2 linked regions of the Xenopus tropicalis genome follow. The protein of the gene in region 1 purifies or fractionates together with the protein of each later gene. This does not show direct contact. Links are inferred from orthologs where the notes say so. Each region holds a gene or a part of one and is shown on either strand. Other genes may lie near its edges. The genes, in order: fos and stk40.

What was found.
Region 2: the proteins of fos (region 1) and stk40 purify together in Homo sapiens (affinity purification with mass spectrometry; 3 studies listed by BioGRID and IntAct, counting the BioPlex papers as one, with this or other methods). This does not show direct contact. The link is inferred for Xenopus tropicalis from reciprocal best matches to the Homo sapiens genes FOS and STK40.

The regions. Positions count from the first base shown.
Region 1 is NC_030684.2:82,306,456-82,317,711, forward strand, and holds fos (proto-oncogene c-Fos), read right to left. Parts: upstream 6,145-11,256; 5' UTR 6,060-6,144; coding exon 5,916-6,059; intron 5,427-5,915; coding exon 5,202-5,426; intron 5,085-5,201; coding exon 4,977-5,084; intron 4,775-4,976; coding exon 4,145-4,774; 3' UTR 3,205-4,144; downstream 1-3,204. UniProt on the Homo sapiens protein: Nuclear phosphoprotein which forms a tight but non-covalently linked complex with the JUN/AP-1 transcription factor. In the heterodimer, FOS and JUN/AP-1 basic regions each seems to interact with symmetrical DNA half sites.
Region 2 is NC_030678.2:86,283,331-86,294,511, forward strand, and holds the start of stk40 (serine/threonine-protein kinase 40), read right to left. Parts: upstream 6,056-11,181; 5' UTR 5,931-6,055; intron 1,279-5,930; exon of another isoform or gene 1,188-1,278; intron 1-1,187. UniProt on the Homo sapiens protein: May be a negative regulator of NF-kappa-B and p53-mediated gene transcription.

The sequences.
Region 1 (11,256 bases):
GGCAATCTTGGAAGAAAACCTCTTGGAGTCTGCAAAAGACTTGAGACTGGGGCGGAGGTTCACCTTCCAGCAGGACAACGACCCTAAACATAAAGCCAGTGCAACAATGGAATGGTTTAAAACAAAATATATCCATGTGTTAGAATGGCCCAGTCAAAGTCCAGATCTAAATCCAATCGAGAATCTGTGGCAAGATCTGAACACTGCTGTTCACAAATGCTGTCTATCTAATCTGACTGAGCTGGAGCTGTTTTGCAAAGAAGAATGGGCAAGGATTTCAGTCTGTAGATGTGCAAAGCTGGTAGAGACATACCCTAAAAGACTGGCAGCTGTAATTGCAGCAAAAGGTGGTTCTACAAAGTATTGACTCGGGGCTGAATAATTACGCACACCCCACTTTGCAGTTATTTATTTGTAAAAAATGTTTGGAATCATGTATGATTTCCGTTCCACTTCTCACGTGTACACCACTTTGTATTGGTCTTTCACGTGGAATTCCAATAAAATTGATTCATGTTTGTGGCTGTAATGTGACAAAATGTGGAAAAGTTCAAGGGGGCTGAATACTTTTGCAAGCCACTGTATATTTCTATTTTTTAACCTGCCCCCAGGGCTGTTATTTTGGTGACGGGTGTGCTCCATTCTGTTCTCTCATTAAAACACGATTCATTTTATAAGCAATCCCTTTTAAAGCCAATGGCATGTGGACATTTGACCACCACTGTTCCCAGTCAGAGGGAAGCTGTGGCTAAAATTGCTTCTGTCTACCTATTACCACTTACAATGTAAATCAATTAGAAGCATGCTGCCAAACACACAGAGCAGTGAAAGGTGGATGTCTGTGCAAAAATGCCCACTTCAGTTGTTATTTTTGAAACATTGCAAAGATTTTTTTATCTGCCTAAGCATTTATTTTGTACCTTTGGCAGAAGCGCAGATACCTTGCTTGCCTAGGAGCAGAAAGACCCAATATTGCTGCTGAAAATTAAGTAAAAATGTCCTGTCCATCTTTCCCGGTCCTTAGAATTCATCAGGCCTTTTTCATCCACTTCTTACTCAGTCTCTATATTTTCCTATTTTTTTTATCTTTGTATACTATAATCAAATGGCAAAAAGTTGGAGGGCCCACTGGGAATTTTCCTGGTACTCTGACACTGCCCCCATGGCAGCCCTGTATGTCAGATTTATCAGTGAAATTACTTGCAGAGTAAGTAAACTGTGACACCAAAGCTGTCAAATGCATATCTTATAGGAAGGAGGAAAACCAGCACTGTAATACTTAGTAGCTGGAGCCACCATTCTGTAATTTACATGGAGGTATCTGCCAGTCATTTTACAAAAGCTACTGAAAATTAAATTTTACTGAAACTGAAAACTTTGTATTTTGACTAATTTGCGTGAAAATATATGATTGGAGGAGTGTAATAATTTAATTACTTTCTACCTGATAATAATGTTACATGCTTCAAGTAGTTTTAATATACAGTTCACTAAAATATGGGTACGCAGGAATGCATAGCAAGCGTTATATCTCTAGGAAAACTGCAGTTTATTAATTAATGGTGTCACTTCCTCAGTTACCAGTGCCTCATTTGGGCTCTGCCCCTTGGTGAGGCACAGGTCCATTTTGGACTGGCACCTTCCCAATTAATACAGCACTGCCTGTGTTTAAGAGTGCAGGTATTCATGAGTGGTGACTAGTGGAGGCATGTAAGCCTTTTAAAATTAAACCAAGGTCCTGATAGTATGCACCCAGGTTGCAAAGTCTAATGGCACAAGGGTCATTTGGTCTTTATTTATTTTTTTATAGTTTTTTAATTATTTTCCGCTTCTGCCTCTTTCCAGCTTTTAAACAGGGCTCACCAAAAATTATTGTTTGTAAGACTACAATTTTATTGTTATTTCTACTTTTTATTACATTTATTTCTATTTGGTTGCTATTTATATCAAATTCCTTCATTTTTATTTTTTTGTGTTTTTTTTTTGTTTAGCTTTTTGTTCAGCAGCTCTCCAGTTTGGTATTTTAGAATCTTTATGGTTGCTATGTTCTTATTTACCTTAGCAACCCGATCAGCAGCTCTCCAGTTTGGTATTTTAGCAGCGAACAAAAGGCTAAATAACTAAAAAAACACAAAATAAAAATGAAGAACAATTGCATATTGCTTTGGAACTAAGAGTTATTTTAATACTAAAGTATGCATTTTTCTTTGTCCGGTATCTAATTTTAACAGGTCAGTTAACTTCTGGGTCTGTTAGCTGGCTTCTATTACATTGATTTCTTATTGTGATGTAATGGCCCACCCACTTTGATGTAGACATGTTGTGTAGTTGGTCAGAACTACAGCAAACTGAAAAAAGTAAGATGGGAGTAAGTTTAATTGCAAGGGAATGCTATGTGTAAATGCTGGATTTTTTCTTATATTACTGTACATAACCCAGTTATCTATTCTACAAGATTTTTCTCTTTTAATAATGAGAATAGTGCATAAGAGGATAGTGATTGCCATTTGTAGTTTCCCACTAACTGCAATTAAAGGCATTTCCCAGTGCAGCCACTGAAAGTACTTTGCTGGAATCTCCAGCTTTCAGTAGTCACAATCCAAGTGCCTATGGCAAGAGAGGTTTAAGACTTGTGGGCTGTATGATTGATGGTCAATTTAGTTCATAAATACTCATGACACCTAGCATTACTTTACGCTTTTTTCTTTTCATTAAATCAGAAAAAAATGCCTGGTCCTTTTCTTTGCTGATGTGTTCATACAATACCAAACATTTCTATTTATTTGAGCCCAAAATAATTGGGCATTTAGCTTGCCACTCAGGATTTGTACACAACTATTTGTATATTTTGCAACTAGTTTTTTTTTGTTGTTGTTGTTGTTGTTGTTTTTTTGTTAACCATGAGTACCAATACTTGCCCCCAAAAAAAGCAGTTACAATACAGATTTTGTATTGGAGAACAAATGAAGCTATACGCAAAAATGTTATGGTGTTTTCCCAATCAAGCTGTAATTAAAAAGGTCTTGGAGATGTTAGCTTTTTAGGACATGGTAGCTTTTTAGGACATGGTAGAAGAAGCACACATCTGGACACATGTTGGACAACCCCTTTCTAAATGGATAGAAAATGTAAACCTGACAATATAGTTTCTCCCCTTAAAAAGGAAGGGAAAGGGGTGGGGGTGAGAATAGACACACAACTGTAGTGAATGCAAAAAAAGATTTTATTCTTATGTGTCTTGGACAAGAAGCAAAATAAATGCTTGTGATCCTGCTCCAGACTTATTGGCACTAATGTCCGCAATGTCAAAGTAGAAAATAAAAATATAAATATTTTCAATATCAATCATAATAAATAAAACAAAAACCATCTACAGGAAATCAACGTTTTCATGGAAAACTTGGAAAGACAGTATTACAATCAACGGAAGAAACAGCACGTTCACCATGTGTCCGGCCCTTAAAAGGATATCTATATATGATCTATATATCTGACTTACAAATGAATATCATGGCTGGTACAAGGATATTTAGAGCTAACTCCTCTAAACACCTTGTACTCAGCCAGCACCATAACATTCCTGTGAGCTAGCTTAGACTACATTTCCAAGCTAACAGCACAAGGCTTTTATCAATATCACAATTACCTAAACAGGTTAACGTAGGTCATTGCCACTAGCAGTTAATGTATGGGATACATCATGCTACATATTAACAGAATTCACAACAAGTCCATGCCAGTGCTACAGATCAGTAAGAGGTATCAGGCTCCAGTGGCAGTTGGAAGTAGGAGTCAACTACACAACCATATAAGTTAACAGGGATCTAGTGCTAGTTTGTGATGACTGGGAAGTAGGAGACTCTTGGCCTAGTACAGTGCTCACTGTGATATTTACACTTTTCAAAACATTACCTATATCTGAGCCTAGGTCACATGCTAGTACCATATTTTTTGGATTGACATGCACAGTGAACACTTATGGCAGCAAAGAAGAAGTTCCAAAAGCATGACAGTAAAAGCCACATATGGTGCCTTATTGCATTTTGGAGTCAAAGGAAGGAGGCACCAAAATAAACCAGTTTAACAAGTACAAGTAAAAGTCCCCAGCAGCATCTCACAATGGTTGTGTGAATGTCCCTCAGCATTACAGAGCCAAAAGGGTGGGAGAGTTTAGAGAGTCTGATGACTGCTCATTGCTGCTGCTTCCCCTCCGATGTGCGGCTCCACAGTTGGGGAAGTGGTCAGATTCTGGGTATGTGAAGACAAATGATGTTGTATAGGTAGTGCATGTTGGAGTGCAGGTAACAACTGGTGTGCACAGAGGCTCCATGTCTGCAGATAAAGTGCTATACAGTGGCTCCCATTCTGATGTGTAAAGAGAGCTAGTAAGATCTACATCTGGCACAGAACGTGCTGCATCAGTTACACCTGTGTGAGAAGAGTTAAACAGAAAATCATCCAGTGGTTCAGATTTGAGTTCCATAGAGACTTGCAGCTGGGTGTTCTCCTTTTCAGGCATGGAAGACTGAGAAAGGCCAATGGGAAACAGAGGCTCTGCTACAGGCTCCTGAGAGCTGGAAGAACAAGGGGTCTCTGAAATCAGACCCAGATCAAGAGATGAGGTCAAGTCTTGAAAAGCTCCATCAAGATCATGTGGAATTTTGCAAGCTGGTTTGTGAGCTGCAAGTATAAACTCCAGCTTTTCCTTCTCCTTTAGAAGGCCGGCAATCTCTGCCTGCAGGGCAGATTTCTGGTCCTCCAGGTCATCAGTCTCCTACAAGGGAAGAAGGTGGTATAGTAAGAACCTCAAACAATCAAATCCTCCAAGAATGGAGAGCAATATAGATCCCATTTATGTTTTCCATCCCTCTGCATATAGTCAAACTAATATATATATATATATATATATTATATATATATATAATATATAATCTTAACATTTATATAAACTACTGCCTATTTAGTAGCCTACTTACCGCTTGAAGGGTGTCTGTTAACTCCCGACGGCGGTTACGACACTTGGCAGCTGCCATCTTATTCCTTTCTCGTCTTACTTTCCTTTTTTCTTCTTCTTCTGGAGAAAGCTATAAGCAGAGAAAAGACAGACTGTCAATATAAATAAACAAGTAGCTTATAGATAAACAACATCTACCTACACCTGCATTGCAGAAACTAAAGGAAAACAAAGGTCTGACAGTTACCTGCTCCATTTTTCCTCTTCTTCCCAGGCTCTGACCTCTTCCAGCAGATCCTTTCATAACGCTAGATCGGCTGTAAGCTGGTGTGGACCCATAAGGGTGTGCCCGAGACTGTGATGGGGCTACAGAAGAAATAAGGGTTGGCTGTACAAGCCACTGAAGATCTGGTGAGGTGGAAATGGCAGTGACTGTGGGTACAAAACTGCTGCTTGAATCACCACCGAAGTCCTAAAAACACATAAGTAGAAATAGGAGACTATCAGTGAAGAGAAAATACGTATACAATCGGCAATACTGCACACAATAAGTGTTATGTGTATCTATACAAATATACACACACAACCCAGCCATTGAAATTGATAATCCCACCCGGGTTCCGCATTTCCAATCCTAGCACACGAGCCCGAGTATGACAGAAATAGCTCCGCCGTCACTAGTGACGCAGGAACAGCTCTGGAGTCTCCTGAATGAACTCTGGATTTTTATCAATGGAACCGCTTTACACATACAGTGGGGGGAGGGGCAAGAGAGTGCAAAGACCCTGTTGAAGTCAGGGCTACAACATGAACCAGGATTTGGGTGTTAGTCCCAGGAGCAGTGACTATGGATATTCGGGTGCCAAGTCTAAACCCAGTTACTTGTACCCATACAACCAGTAAAGTAAGCCACCCGCAAACACTTCATCACCCTCTTAAAATCATATATCAGATGACTTACCTGTGGAGAAACAGGTGACCCCATGCTAGAGAAGGAAGCTGCAGGGGACGGGTAGTAGGTCAGGCTGTCCCCGGCTGGAGAGGCACTACTGCAACGGGAAGAAGCTGCATCATATTCGGTGCTGCTGGAGAAGGCGTGATACATGGTGCCCTTTGAGGGTAAGAATGTAAAACCAGCTCCGGGAGTAGCAAGTGACAGAGAAAGACCGTCAGTCCTGGCTCACCAAGCTGTCAAACCACTCCGTACGATGAAGCAATTAGTCTGAAGGAACTTGCCTCCTCTCCAGCTTTTTATACCCTGTCAGAGGTTTTTTTTTTACTTTTTTTCAAAGCCTACGTCACGAGTTAGACCCTACCACTATTCAAAGGGACGAGCAACTCTAGTATCAACTCTCGGGGCTTTCGTTTTCTATTTAATTGTGCTGAATGTCAAATATTCTTCAGTTCTTGACAATGACCTAAATGAATATTCAAGGTAGCATTACCTAACAAACGCTTATTTTTTTGTCTCCCCCCTCGGATTTACCCAATGGTTTCACCGAACTCGGGAATCCAAATGACGCAGATATCCTTATAAGGAAAACATCCTGTTTGAGGGCGGTTTGAGGCGGCTAGGGGTAGGGCTGCCGGGAAGAGCCCTAGCAAGCAAAGACAGACACAAAAAGGGAGGGGTTGAGGGTGCGAATTGGGAGAAAGGTAAAACTGAAGAGTGGAAAAAGGTTACGCAGCCCTTTTGAAAACAATATCCGCGGTATCCGTGTTTAATAAAAAATACAATTTTATGTTTATGTAATACAGGTATACACTGCAATTTAACATAAAAGGCAAACGCTGTACAGTTAAATTCTGCTCTGCATGTTAATGATGTAGACTGTAGAGTATACATGTATGATGCAAGTCACTTTCGTTTATCTATAAAATGAATAGCGATACATTTGTATAATTCATATACCCTGTTCTGCCTATAATACAATTACATTTTGTCCTATGTAAAATATGAAAGTGGCTTAACTAAAGAACTGTGGGCCCCAGTAAAAATTACACTGGTTTCCTGGTTTTCACCTGGGGACCCCTTTCCAAGCTTCCCACCACACTGTGCCCCATATGCCTCCAGCTATTCTGTATAACAGAGATTAATATTGATCTTTGTTGCGCTGACCCCCTCAGCTCCAGAAACAAAAATAGCAAACTGCTCAGTGTATTATACAAATACATTGGCTCAGCACTACAGAGCAAAACATCTTGCATTATTATCATTTATATATAGTGCTTATATTTTTTTCACAAGGTTATTATCATTATCATGCTATTATAATTTCCCATATAAATGCAGTTTACAATCTAAGGTCTCTTTTATGTACACACAGAATAGCGCAAATTTTATCAGACGCCAATTCTTTGTATATGTTATTGGAGTGTGGAAGAAACTGAAGTCCAGGAAAGAACCCTAAGCAAGCACAGGGAGGACTTCTTGTACTCCTGTACAGCCCTGGCTAGAATTAGACCAAGGAGCCCAGCACCGCAAGGCAGCAGTGCTAACCACAGTGATTAGCATGGCTGTCTTGCAGTGCTGGGCTCCTTGGTCCATGCTGCCATTCTACACAAATACACTGCATATAATACTGATATATCATTACTAATATATTGTAATAACATTGACATCAAGTATAATTTTTACCAACTAGGTAGATGGCTACCCTTATTATGTTTTCTGCAGATTAACCTATTCTGAGCATAATGATACAGATAGGCCCTGCTTTGTCTATAATATCAACACACCCTCCTCTGCATATAATACGAACACTGCTAATGTAATTTGCAGTATGATGCATGTAACACAGTATATAAAAACAGATGTGGCAGATCAAAGGTGCTTGGTGTTGTTTGATTAGTATGACAAACCACAACATGTTAATGTATACTAATATACTATTTCCTATATATAGAAACAAGTCAAGGATACCTGGGGCATACAGTAGATTAGTGTGAAGCCTTTCCACACCATTGTCATATTTATATACATATACTTTTCTGTGTATATTGCAAAAACATAAATTTGGGGTAAAACAAAATACTATCTGTTTTGGTTTCATGCTCTGTTTTGGTTTATTCTGCTTTGTTTGTTTTCCTGTTACTATTTGGAGGCTCCCTTTCAAATGTGGGAAGTACAATCTCCTTTCCCCTGGGGCCTGCAGGGAATTCTCTCACACCCACATTAGAGGCCAACACAGGGTTTCCCTCCCTTCCTCCCTCCTTCATCGGATGCCGGGACAGGGATTCCCTCCCTCTCACAGTTGAGGCCAGGAATGGGCTTCCCTTTGCCTGTAGTGACATCAGCAACTTGCACGCATAACTTTACTTAGAATGCTCTTCCAGTTAGACAACATTTTCCAGCATGAGGCGGATGGCTGGGGTATCCCTTGCTTATATATTCACAACTAGTCAATTGTAGCAGTAGATCATGGGGCATTTTACAAATAACAATCTAAAGTCTTCACAGAAGAAACTGGTTATGTACGAAAAAACTAAGGGATACACTTTACACAGCAGATATGTACAGATCAGACTAAAAGCATAAAATGCACTACAAAAGGGTTTATATTCAACAGAAAACAGTGAGCTATACCCTCAGTTTGCAAGACAGATATTACAGAGTATGAATTCTTTTTCCTTGAGTTTTTTTTACCGTATTCCACATACTGACAGCATATAGTGTGTCACTTTTTACAATATAACCTGTAGTTGCTCTCCACAAATAATGTAGGTTTTAGTATTATTATTAATTAATAATATTAACATGTATGTATAAAACATTCAGCAGCAGTGTACAATAAATGGGTTAATACACATTAAACATACAATAAAAAACATGTACAAACAACCAATAACTAATACAAGAGCTAAAGAGGACCCTGCCCATAAGAGCTTACTAAAGATATACTGCCTTATTAAAGTATTGAACTGGGAAAGTATTATAAATTGGAATATAACTATATTTATTTTAGGTAACAGCAATGCGTAATTTTCTTAACTGTATGTATATATATATATCTGCACTGGTGTATAACACACTAGTGCCGTCACATGTCTTATATCTGCTTTCGAATTCAGAAACATCTCTCTGATCAATCAAGCTGTAAACGAGCAGACATGCAGAATATAAAAGCAAAACAAGAGTGTATATATGTATGTGGAGGTGTGTATTTCAATGATGGGGGTAAATTTATTTATCACACTTCAGTGGACCTTTGAAACGACACCTGTCTACAGACTAAGACAAAGGTCAAAACGTATTCACCATAAAGATTCAAAATGAATCTATATAATTAAGAGTGCAGACACCTTAAAGCACTCAATCAGATATTCAGAGTTCCAATAAAACTTGAATTTTGTCTTAATATAGTGAAAACCCACATAATGCTATATAAATAATGTACACAGGTATGTTTGAACGGCTGATTGCAGTGTATGTATGTACTGTTGGTGTCCATAATCATATATATATAATTAAACATACATTAACGTTTATATTTTTCTATGTCTCATATACGTGTACAAAAACTATATTTGTATTTAATTACATTATTTTAGTGACATCACGCATCTCTAATTACCTCAATTTATTTTTAACGTATGCACATTACGTTTATATTCCAAGTTTCTGTATAAGTAGATACTAAAGCCACATTTTTCTAGCGCTTTCTGTTTACAAACACCTCACAAACACAAAAGTACAACCCTAATACACAAAGTTACAGCACAACAAACACTTCCAACCCCGGAGACCGTTGCTATGGAAAGTAGAGCTACGCCCCACGACAGAGATAGCCAATAACACTACTGTAACTAAGCCGTGCCGGATCTTCTGGCTGTTGCCATGGTGAGGGCGAAATATTTGGCTCGCACTTAGACAAATATGGGCAGGAGGCCAACGTCATTGTGTGTTTCCGTGGGAACGGGTAAGACAGCACGTCATATAGTTGTCACGTGGTGCAGTTTCCCGCCTAGTGGGTGCGGCGTTACTATGGCTACGTGTTGTGTGTTGTTATTTGGGAAGGCGTGTTTTAACCACGATATTTACGCCTTTCGTCTCTGGCCCCATCTGTTTCCCGTCTTGAAGCTGTGTGGATCACATGGTCTACCAGTCATTGCAGCTCTTCTTTCTCTCAGTGTTTACCAGCACGGAGAGGGGCACGGCACGCAAGATATCGGTCTTGCTGAACAAGCTGCTTCAGCCGACCAAGCTTTCCCGCACTCCTCCGTGCAGACATAGTATAGTGGCAGGTAACCGAGTGTTTGAGCATCCCATAAGGTATGCGTGTCCTTGTAGCTGTGGTGTGTCATATATTGCAGTGTTAAAATAAATATTTGCTACTTGTAAAGTAGTGTTATTTTTATATCGTGTTCTTGTGCTCTGGCCGGCATGTAGCAGGAGCGATTTTACATCGAAGGGCGAGTGGTGAGGTGGGCAAAGGAGGTAGTGGGCCAAGATCTGAGGAACAGCAGAATGGGGTGGGCTGTAGAGAAAGTGAAACGGGAACTGGAGGTGCAACACTCGGTAACAAGTAAGTCAGAAAAAGTCTGAAGGACATATTGTGTGACTGGTGACTTTTACTTTGCTACTAACAGCAGACTTTTTTTATGTTTTCTTTTGTTGCTGGAGCCCAGGCTCCTTCTGTATTTCTCAGCTTCTCGGTTGGCTAAAAGTGGTTTAACTAACTTATACAGGCATATTTTATAAGAGCAAAAGCTATATAGCTTCTAACAGAACCTCTGACTTGTGTTGTGATTTTGGGTCTTCTAAATTATATGCTGGTCTGTGGGAGTAACATAGCTAATATGTCACAGTTGTTGTAATTAGTGCTGGCAGAATGCGATCTGTTACATTTCATTTGTGTAAAATGTATTTGAAGGGATTCACTTAGGGATCTATTTATTGAATTATATGAGCTTTTACTTACATTAAATTTGAAGCTGTGGCATGACTAGTTATTGGGATTAATATGTCTATGAAGATTTTCATTCATCCAGGTCATGGTATATCTAGTATAAATAAATCTAAAGCAACTGGACTTGTTAAGAAAGACTTGTTTCTTAACAAGTCCAGTTGCTTTAGATTTATTTATACTAGATATTGGGATTAAGACATTTACTATTAACATATATTGCAGCTGTTTATCAGTCAAATAGGGCACCCTATAGTTCCTAGAGGGCAGAGTACTGTATAGTTCCTAGGCATTTGCAGGGTATATTTTCATATACACCTCTGCTTTTCAGTACAATGATTGATAAATAGTAACACATCCACCACCGAGCCTTTGGCACTTGAGTAAAGATTCACA
Region 2 (11,181 bases), on another chromosome or scaffold:
TATGCTAAAGCCCCCAAAGAAGTTTAGGAGTAACCAGGTCATTTATCCACATTCGTTGATTCATGGCCCCTAAAGGATGCAGCCTCTCAATTTAGGAGCCAATGAACCAAATTTCTTACAAAATACTCTGAATCCCACACATGATGGACTAACAAATGATATTTCCTGCGACCAATGGTCAAAGGAATTATAATTGTTACGCATACAATTACAATCGTAATTGTTTACATTACACATCCAATCACTATCCAAATCTTGTCGAATTCACTTGCGCTACACTGCTCAAATATCAGAATAGCACTCAGTACTAAGAAATACAAGTCTGGCTTGGGAGTCCTTCAGTTACATGGGAGTAGGAGAAACAATAGGTTACCTGAAAGCAGTTCTAATGTGTAGCGCTAGCTCCTTCTGAAAGCTCAGAATCAGGTACAATACACTGATATGGCAGCCTACACACCAATATTATAACTAAAAAAATTAAATTTGCAGGTTCAAAAACAACATTTTTAGGGTGAAGACACTGTAGCTGCTACTAAGTAGCTCTGTGTGTCTTCACCCTAAATGGTAGAGTTAATTATTTGCTATGTAAACAGTGTAATTTTGAAATAAAAAGTACACCATAAAAATCACAACAGAATCCCTTTAAAGGAGAAGGAAAGGCTAAGTCACTTGGGGGTGCCAAAATGTTAGGCACCCCCAATTGACTTAAATCGCTTACCTTGTACCCCAGGCTGGTGCCCCTATTAGGAGATAACAGCACCAGCCCGGGGTACCTGTAGAGAGCGCTTCCTTCTTCCACAGCGAAAAACCTGGGCCAGAGCATGCGCATTAGAGTGAAAAGCCGACTTTGTTGTTAAAGTTCGGCTTTTCACTACGTGGAAGAAGGAAGCGCTCGCTGCTACCCTGGGCTGGTGCGGTTCTCTCTTAACAGGGGGGTTCTCTCTTAACAGGGGGGTAACATCCCGGGGTAGAAGGTAAGCGATTTAAGTCACTTGGGGGTGCTTAACATTTTGGCACCCCCAAGTGACTTGGGCTTTCCTTTAAGAGGAAGAAAACTAGTCAACATCCCTGGAAACAGATTCCACCATCTAACTGCTGTTAATATCCTCGGTGCTCCAACAAACAAATATAGGGATCATTTACTTCCATAAGTGCAGCAAGAGCAAAGTGTAATTTTGAAGAGTCACCTTTTTTCGCATAATGCAGTATTTTTTCCAAAATTCCAGTGTAGTTGAAGTCAAAAGGGGTCCTTGTGTGTCACGCAATTGCAGAAGTAACCTATGGTAAAGTAAGCAAATTTTATGCCTGTATCTTTGGGATCCATATAGTCAACCAGCAGCCAAAAAATAATAGCTTTCCTGCTTGATCAGTGTATTCAGACCTTGGCTTGTCCCAGCCAATTTGGCAATGCATAAATATACACTATAAGATACACTATAAGATCCGCTCGCTTGGCGATGTCGTTGATGCGGTCCCCGATCCGACTGGATTTTCTAACCTGGCCGATCGAGATCTGCCCAATTTCAGGCCAGATATCGGTCGGCCAGGCCGCTCGGTTCTGCCCATACACGGGCCGATTAGCTGCTGAATCGGTCCAAGGGACCGATATCGGCAGCTACTATCGGCCCGTGTATGGGGACCTTTAGTGCATTATTATAATTATACTAAATTATACTAAATTATAATTTCAATACTTTCTTTAAATTTGCTAGTTTAAATTGTATACATGCAAATCACAGCCTAAGTGAATAACTACTGTATAAACACCTTTTTATCAAACTTTAACGCCCGCAAGTCACGCCTCTACTAGCAAATGCACATTTTTTTTAATTAAAAGTAGTTAAATTATATTTACCACCTACATGAAAAAAACAGAACTGGATAAAAAAACAGGGGGCTATTCAGCATTCACAAAAAGGACCTGACTAGCTCATTCTCAACCTGTCATGCAGGGATGATAGTGGGCAGGAGAACTCCCAAGGACTGACTAAGCAAAACCAAAATTGGCAACACTTATTTCAAAGAAGAAAGCAATAAAAAGGCATCTTAGTAAAGCCTAAACCACCACCCACAACTGTGTCATTTTAGTAAGTCAAAGAGAAAACGAATGTCATTATTTCCATGGAAGATTTAAAACATTCTACAAGTGGGAAAAAGAAAAAGTAACTCATCTATAGCTCTAGAGAGAAATAAAAATAAACCAATTGTACCCCTTTACCTCATCCACAGACATGTTAAGCACATGTCTGGACCAGTCCCCCTCAAGGTGATTTGCTTAGTTATTAAGTAGTGTTATCTCCTCTGACCTGGTGCCTCTAGTGCCTCCAAATCCTAGTTCTAACCACCATTCCTGTCTTTGGATTATACTTCTTGATCACCCGTTCTGTGCTATGCTTCAAATTGCTCCCCATGTATTACTTAACCTGCTTTTGACAACTGCATTTGATTTCCAGTTCCAATTCAGTTTTGCTCAGTCAAGTCCCAAACTTGTGCTACCATTAACTCAAACACCCTACAACACTTTTTTGCTAAAAATTAACATTCAACTTCCTGAGCTATTCTGGACTGCCTTTGGTTGTGCTACGCTTACCTGTCAAAGACTTTGGGGGTTAGGTAAAAACAAAAGTGCAGTAAACCATATAAACCAATTAGTAGAATCCAGTCAGCTGTTTAAAAGCAAACATTTTATTGATTGCTATGGATCAGAGTTGTCCAACTGGAGGCCTGCAGGGCTGGATGTAGCCCTCCAAAGGATTTTTAAGACTTTCAGTGCTGAGAGGCTCCACGGACTTCACTGCATTACAATATCCTTTTTATTTAATCAGGCCTATGAACATACTTAGTGGTTACCACTTCTGTGCAAACTTAGTGCCTATTATCACATACGAGGACATGTGTTATACCTACTTTCATTTTCCTTGTCAATCCCCTTGCACCAGTGGGTAGATTTTCTTGCCTCCTTCACAGTACATTTTTGTTCTTGCAGAGGGGAGATACAGTTTTATCTCCAACCTTTCATTCAAAACATTGTTGGGCACTTGCCAACAGATCTGAACTCTATTATTTATATTAATTCAATCTTTAGTCACATATGCCATGTGCTTATGCCGCTGAGAAAACTGTATAGTAATCTATGGGGACCACTATGCCTGCAGTGTAAGCAATGGTGCCAGGCTGGTCAAGCATTTATGTGAGATGGGTTAGGTGTTCATCGGGCACTGCGCTTCTCATGGTTTACTATGACAGATGGAGATTGGCATTTTAACTGCCCCTGTTTCCACCTTGCATAACTTTTTAGCCTACAGAATCATCTTTAGCTTAAAGGAACAGTAACACCAAAAAATGAAAGTGTTTTAAAGTAATTAAAATATAATGTACAGTTGCCCTGCGCTGGTAAACTGGTGTGTTTGCAACAGAAACGCTACTATAGTTTATATAAATGAGCTGCTATGTCAACACGGGGGCAGCCATTGAAGCTGGGAAAAAGGAGAAAAGGCACAGGCACATAGCAGATAACAGATAAGCTTTGTAGAATATAATGGGGTTTTATCTGTTATCTGCTAAGTAACCTGTGCCTTTTCCCTTGTAAATGGCTGCCCCCGTGGCTACACAGAAGCTTTATTTATATAAACTATAGTAGTCTTTCTAAGGACAACACACCAGTTGTACCAGTGCAGGGCAGCATTACATTATATAGTAATAACTTTTATACACTTTAATTTTTTGGTGTTACTGTCCCTTTAAAACTGTAATGCCTAATGAATATATTTTCTGATGTATTCAGATATTTTTATCCCTTGGTAAAACAAACGCACAGTAATTTCATCATGTCTAAACTGCATTGTTTTCAATGGAGCTGTTGGTCAGGTGCAAAAACCACAATGGTTAATGACACACAAGTCGGTTTCTCTGTTGGCATAAAAAAATCTGACTGTACGTTTACTAAAAGCCACAGAATCGGCTCATCAGCATACACGCAGAAAAGCTTATGTGTGCATTTTTGTGCCAAAATCTGCACAATTTGCCCCATGTGCACAGTGACTGGTGGGTATGTCATAAATGGAAATAAAGATCCATACAGAGTAAAAAGTAAGTATTTTCTTGAGATTTAAGGGCTCTGGCACACGGGGAGATTAGTCGCCCGGCGGCAAAACTCCCTGTTCGCGGGCGACTAATCTCCCCGGATTGCCATCCCACCTGCGAAAATGTAAATCGCCAGTGGGATGGCAAACGCGGCGGCGCGATTTCAGTGAAATAGCGCAAGTTGCCTTGAGAGGGAACAAAATCGCGCCGCCGCGTATGCCATCCCACCGGCGATTTACATTTTCGCTGGTGGGATGGCATTTCGTGGAGATTGGTCGCCCGAGACACAGTAGATTTGTCGCGGGCGACTAATCTCCCTGTGTGCCAGAGCCCTAAAACTGCACCCAGACTGCCCTTCTTAGCACCTGGATAGATCATTGGCAGATCAGATAATATTACAGCTCCTATTAACTTTGTATAATCGTTAGGTTGCTGAATGGAAGGTATTTACAGGTGGTAATCTCCATTTTCCAGCTCAAAGAGAATTTTCTGACAATTTCCCATGGGCGACAAAACATCTCAACTCGTATTGGCCTTACAACAAACAGACCTTTCCAATCCTTTGAAATGCAAAGTAGTATCTCATGAATACAGATAATGTAAACAATAGCCTAAACCTCAATCTCCCCCCCCCCTATTCTAGTTTTATGGCATTAAACAACCATATTGGCTATCCTACATTGTTTCTTTCCCTGCCACATTATAACCAAGGCATTTACTTTACCTGCAAACAAAGCAATCACTGCAGAATAGAACTGCAGATTACTGCTGTGTTTTTCATTTGCATTGAATTACATCAACAATGGAGTGCCACTATCCATGTTAGTCTCTAGTTCATTATCCTTTACAAGTTTATTAGCAAGAATCAAGAATGACTTAAAGAGTGTAGCAATTTAAATATAGAACAATGCTTATTACAGTAATCCAATCACTATATTATCCTTGTTCACTATCCTTTGTTTACCAAGGTGACCTCTAAAATATATATTATCATATCTCTAACAACTGCCTTTCATTCATCTGAACTACGACAACCCCACCATTGTAACACCTGTCTAGCTGCTTCAGGAAAATACCTTGGGTTTTTTTTTGTTACGGGACAGATGCACATATCCACCAAAGAATAACCACACTGGGCCCTACTTGCAAGGGGGTTTGCAGTGGCGATCCTGATTAAAACTATGTAGAAAATACAGTATCCAACCATGCAGCAGCTACCTGGACAACACAATAGTGGAGTGTATAGCACTGATATTATAGGTTTTAATTCAGCCAGGGCACTATGTGCAAGGAGTTTGTATTTTCTCCACTGCAACAGGGATTAATGTAAACTATGGATAATCTCTGCAAATTATAATGCATGGTCAGGGTGGTGGCTGAGTAGGGTTAAAGAGGCAAATTTTAATGTAATTTTTTTTAAAGCAAATCACGTAACCATAACATAAGCCAGTGCTTCCATTCTTAGCCTTCAGCATACCCCTCTTGTGAATAATACATATAGCGCACGGTTGTAACTACAGCGCAGATTACAGTTACGATGGAATCTTGACAGCACGTGATTGATGCGTTCGTATTCCTTTAGCAACATGCAAATTAACTACACACCAAACACCCATTATAGCCCTGGCCCCTTACTAGTATCAGAAGCCGGTCCCTCCGGTGTCTGCAACATAACAAAAACCCGCACACATGCGCCCTCCGACCACAACACACTCGGAGAATGGTACGGTGTATAGATTTGATTTTCAGGGACAACTGGGGAGCCACAGGTTGCAGAAGCCAGCATTATTCCTTATCCTCCTTTCCCGTGCCTCACACGCCCTTTAGCTACCCCGAACGCTTATTACCTGTGACACAAGCCAGCCCGTGTTCCTCAGTTCTTACACATCGCTCTGGTTCAGCTTAAGGAGTAAGGTACAGCGGACACCGGGCCTGCGCCGCTCACCGACCCCGGCTCTCCATGGCTGCGCACTTGACAACGGAAATTACGCATCAGGCGCTGTAAAAAAAACGGCAACGAATCGAAACAAGACTAACAAAACCTCGGCCCCGCCCTGTTACACCTAAAGTCACCTCCTATTGGCTTGACTGAGCCCTCCCTTTTCCAAACCTACGGGGGCCGTGTAATCACGCCCCCAAAGCTACGAGGGTGATGAGATCATGGCGCTGCTGAATGGCTTATGCTTGTGAATGGAGGCGGCTCTGATTGGCCGCTGCCAAGAGTGATTTAAAGCCCAGATAATGAAACTGGAATAACTATTGCAGCCGCTTATACTGATTAAATAGGACAGAAAGAGTCTCACACCTCACTATTATTATTGCATCAGATTAGTTTGGGACGGTGTTGTTATGCAGGTGTAATTATTCTGATTGATTTGATTCAAGATTTTGTTGCACGCTGGCATGAACGCAAAAGGATTGTGAATACACAGAGACTTGTATCAATTAGTTAAACAATTCATACAATTTTATTTATTCTACCTACCTATACCTGTTTAGAATACAGACTCGTTGTACCGTATAAGCATATTGTATCTTCTTATTTGTACCAGAGCTGCTGCTTTTACAGAAATCACATATTTAGAAGAAAACATTGGAATGGCCAAGGAGTGTTGATGATTTTCCAGCATGCACAACTGTCTCCAGTTTAGTGACACACACAAGAAAGCAATGAGAAAGATTGGCTGAAAATTGTAAATGTCCAAATTATCAAATATAGTGAATAGAATGTATACCCATAGGCTGTATGGATAGAGGCTCATTGGGCAGACATAGATCTATTAACTTACTTTGCAGCGGATTACAAATGCACAGTTAAAGCATGGTGATACCCAGAATATGAATTATTTTAAAATGGGGGAGGCATAAGAGCTGTTGGAAGTGCACAACAACGGTATCCAGTGGTACAAAACAGAGGAGATGGATTCACAATTGTGAGGGTCTGGGGGAAGGAAGGGGGTAAGGTACTGAGTAGAGTCAGGCATGGAATTATAGAAAGGCAACATAGGCTAGGCTAGGGATCCCCAGCCTTTTATACCAGTGAGCCACATTCAAATGAAAAAAGATTTGGAGAGCAACACAAGCATGAAAAAAGTTCCTGGAGGTGCCAATAAAATAGCCAATATAATTGGCTGGAAGCCTACAGAAGGCTCTGCTTGGCAATATCACTGATTTTTTTTTTATGCAATCAAAGCTTACCTTCTAACCAGACATTCATATATAAGCACCTGCTTTAAGGCCACTGGGAGCAATATCCAAAGGGTTAGCAAGCAACATGTTGTTCACATGCAACTGGTTGGGGATCACTGGGCTAGGCTAAGGCCATCCTGGAACACCTTCCTATGGTTGATTCTGAGTGGCACAACAACACCATCATAAAAAGAGAGGACAGAGGAGAATTTTGAGTTTCCTTTGAGGGCCCTGAAAGTAATTCACTGTTACTTTATTGTCCATCTTGGCTTGTCAACCCAACCCCCCCCCCACCACAGAACTGGCAAAAAGCCAGGACTGGTAAGCTATAGTGTTCCCTGAAGGAGGAGACAGGAGAACTACTGTAAGACAAGGTCACATAGTAGCAGGTCCTGAGAGAGATATTTAAAATTGCCCTGCATTATAGGTACAGAGGGCCAAAACAGCCCCCACCAGCCCAATAAATAGTGACTGTCTATGGCATCTCATAGCAGCATTTGCCAAGTTACACAGATTGCCAGTCTGGGCTGAATAATTCTGGAAATTTGACTTCAGGTTACAGCCCAGGCCTAATGATATAATACAACTTATAACTGGGCTTTAATTGCTCTTAAATTGTTGCAATTACATAGCAATGCAAATCCAGGCAACTTTCCAATATATGTTAATTGAAAATGTCATTGGGTTTAAGGGAAAACAAATTATTCCCTGAATGGACCAGGCAGAGTAGCTGTTAATCTATTTGGCTTTAAAAGTATTAAGTAAGCGATCAACCATATGTAAGCAAATCTTACTTACGGTTGGGCCCCTAAATTTATGCCACCCTAGGCCCAGGCCTTTGTGGCTTTGCCACAAATCCAGGCCTGGTAAGATCCACTTGCTTGGCGTGGTTGCCAAGCGAGCGGATCTTTTCCCGATATGCCCATCTACAGGTGGGCGATATTAGGCTTATTCGATCGATTGGCCCTAGGGCAGGTGTAGGGCTGATCACTTACTACCCTTAAGCCGGCCATACACGCACATACATACACGATATTAACGTACGAAACCTCACTTCGTACAATATTCGGTGCATGTATGACAGGTCGAAGAGGTGACAGATATCACAAAGGCTGCGGATATCGGTCGACTCGACGATCGGCCAGGTTAAAAGATTTTGATTGGGCGCCATTGAAGGTTCCCCGAGCAAAATCTACGTTTAGGGCTGAAGCACCAGGTAGAGGTAGAATTTCAATTGTTTCTACCTCCATATCTGACGGTTCAGCCCTGAACGTCAGTGAAGGGTGGGAACGGTCTTTCGTGAGACCAATGGTTGCAGGAAAAATCGGAATTGCTAAGTGTATCGCCACCTTTAGACAGCAACACAAAGGGGCAGATTTATCAAAACACGAGTTCGAATCCCAAATGGGAAAAATTCGGATTGGAAACGAAAATTTCTGAAGATTGTAAATATCACAAAAATGCTTACGAAAAAATCATATTAGTCACGATAATATTGTATTGGCGATCCGAAAGTCACAAAAGTTTCTCACCGAATGATTGCAAACAGCGGCATAACCGATCCGATTTTTTGTGCTAAAAATACGAAAAAGTCGCACAAGGTACGAAAAAGTCGCAGAAAATACAATTGGACCGATAGAATGAACGCTCGGAGCATTCGTGGATAAGTGACCCAAAGTGTCAGATGGTGAGGTAAAAATAAAAGAGTGAAAACAGCTGACACTAGTGATAAGCCACAGTGTACCAATTAATGCAATGAACACAGCATACTTGCATATAAAGATTTTGGCAAATGTGTTAGTTTGGAGCCAAGCACCAGAAGTGGTGAAATCCCAACACCGAAACTGCATTCGATTCGTGTCTAAGTGCAAGTGCAGTTATGTGCATTTTAACTTATCAGCCGCAATTTGCATCAGCTGCAATGCCACCTTGTGACCACAATTATGCTGGAATACGGGGGGGGGGGAAACTGGCTTGTGGGTAAAATCCATGGTTAAATTGCACTTTGTACACTACACTCTGCATTTATTGCAGATTGTAATTGTTTCTTTTGAAAAAGTTAGACCTATTTTAAAATTAACTATATTAAGATTTATTAAGAAATGTGCAAAGTGCAATATTCAGAACGATTCACCAAAAGCTACAGACATGTTCCTATAAAATGAAGAAATGTGCCAGTATTGCTAATAATGCAGCACTGAATCATTGGTTTTGTTTGCCTATTTCTTCCTACAGCCCAGCTTCTGTGTTTTGTGTGTATATTCAATGCACTAATGAATCTCTTTAGGTTCTCAAGGTAGGTATTACAGATGACACATGGTGGCACAATGGTCAGCACTGCTTTTTTGACATGTTGCTTCAGTTCCAGCAAGGGCACTGCAAGGAGTTTCTAGGAGGTTACAATTAAGAACGTAAAGTGGAAAAAAAAAAAAAGGCACAAACAGTTATTGGTTATGATTTTCCTCTATACACATTGTGTTCTCCATTTTCTGTATTTTTACAGTCTTCTGCGCCTTGTTATGTACAACTCTATCCAAGGTGGGGGGTGGGTGGGATAGCTATGAGCCTCCTTCCACTGCCATTCTTAGATAGATTGCCCTAACTTCTATCTCCCGACACTCCGGTGGTAAATTGTATATTATACGTAAATCTGACTGCTACTGAAAGCTGCATGTGACTGTACCATTCAGGTGCCTGCCTTGATGGTTCCGACTTTTGAAAGAGTATAGCAGAAACTATCTACTTAGACCTGTAAATAAGTAGGCTGAACTAATGCTAAGCTGTTTCAAGAGACAATACCAGAGGTGCAGAAAGAGACTGAAAACTACTGCTTTCAATTTAGCTTACATTTCCAAATAACTTTAAAAGCACCAACTGTTTTTTATGGATATTTAAATTAAAATTGCTTCGATTTTCTTTATTAATAAACACAAATCATATTTGTGGGTTTAGATCTACTTTAAGTACAGGGGTGCTTTCTCCTATAAAGTTGCTCCTTATTTACAATAGCTGCAGTCTCCTTTACTAACATAGGGATAATTTGCACCTGTATTATAACCACCAACAACCAATCAGTATTTAGCTTTGTACAGATGGTACAAGTATGCATTTCAGTGCTGAAAACTGCTCTTTGTGTCTGCACCTGGGCCAACACAGTGGCTCCAGGTGCAGTCACAACAGTTGGCTGAGGCAAGCATTTATCCACAGGTCAAGAATGAACCTGGTAAAGCAGTAGCCTTAAGTGGACACAGGACTCATTTATGAATGCTGTAATAAAAAGCGTTTCAATGTGCAGAAGGCTGTTAGGTAGGATTGCCATCTTTCAACAGCTTGCACTCCAGACAGGTGGGCGGGCAGTGAAGTGATGAGGCGGGCTAGTGTCACAGGGTGGAACCGTGATGTCACAGGTCAGAACTGTGATGTCACAGGGGTACGAATTTTATGTTGCAATCAGCGACTGGTCAATCGTGTGTCAATCAGGGGGAGTCCTGTAGGATTTCCTCATTTGTTAAATTACTAGGCAGTTTTGACCCAAACAGCCTCTCCAAAAACAAGGCTTTCCTGGTCAAAACAATACAGGTGGCAACCCTACTGTTAGGGTGCTGCCCAGCTGCCTCTATTTGCACCACCTCAAAACATGAGATGTCAATATGAATATAAATATAATATATATATTATATAGTATTTCACTTTACAATTTCCTGAAAAAGCACCATAACAGCAAGAAGCATTTGCACTTTCTATTAACTGCACCTTATATGCATTTATTTAAATTCATATAAAGCCAGCACACAGTGGCTGTAATAAAAGCAATGTTTTTTTGTTGTCTGTGCATATGTGTGGGCCAGAGGCTGATCCTGTCAACACAGATACACACCCTGAATGAGTCAGCCAACATCAAACATCTGT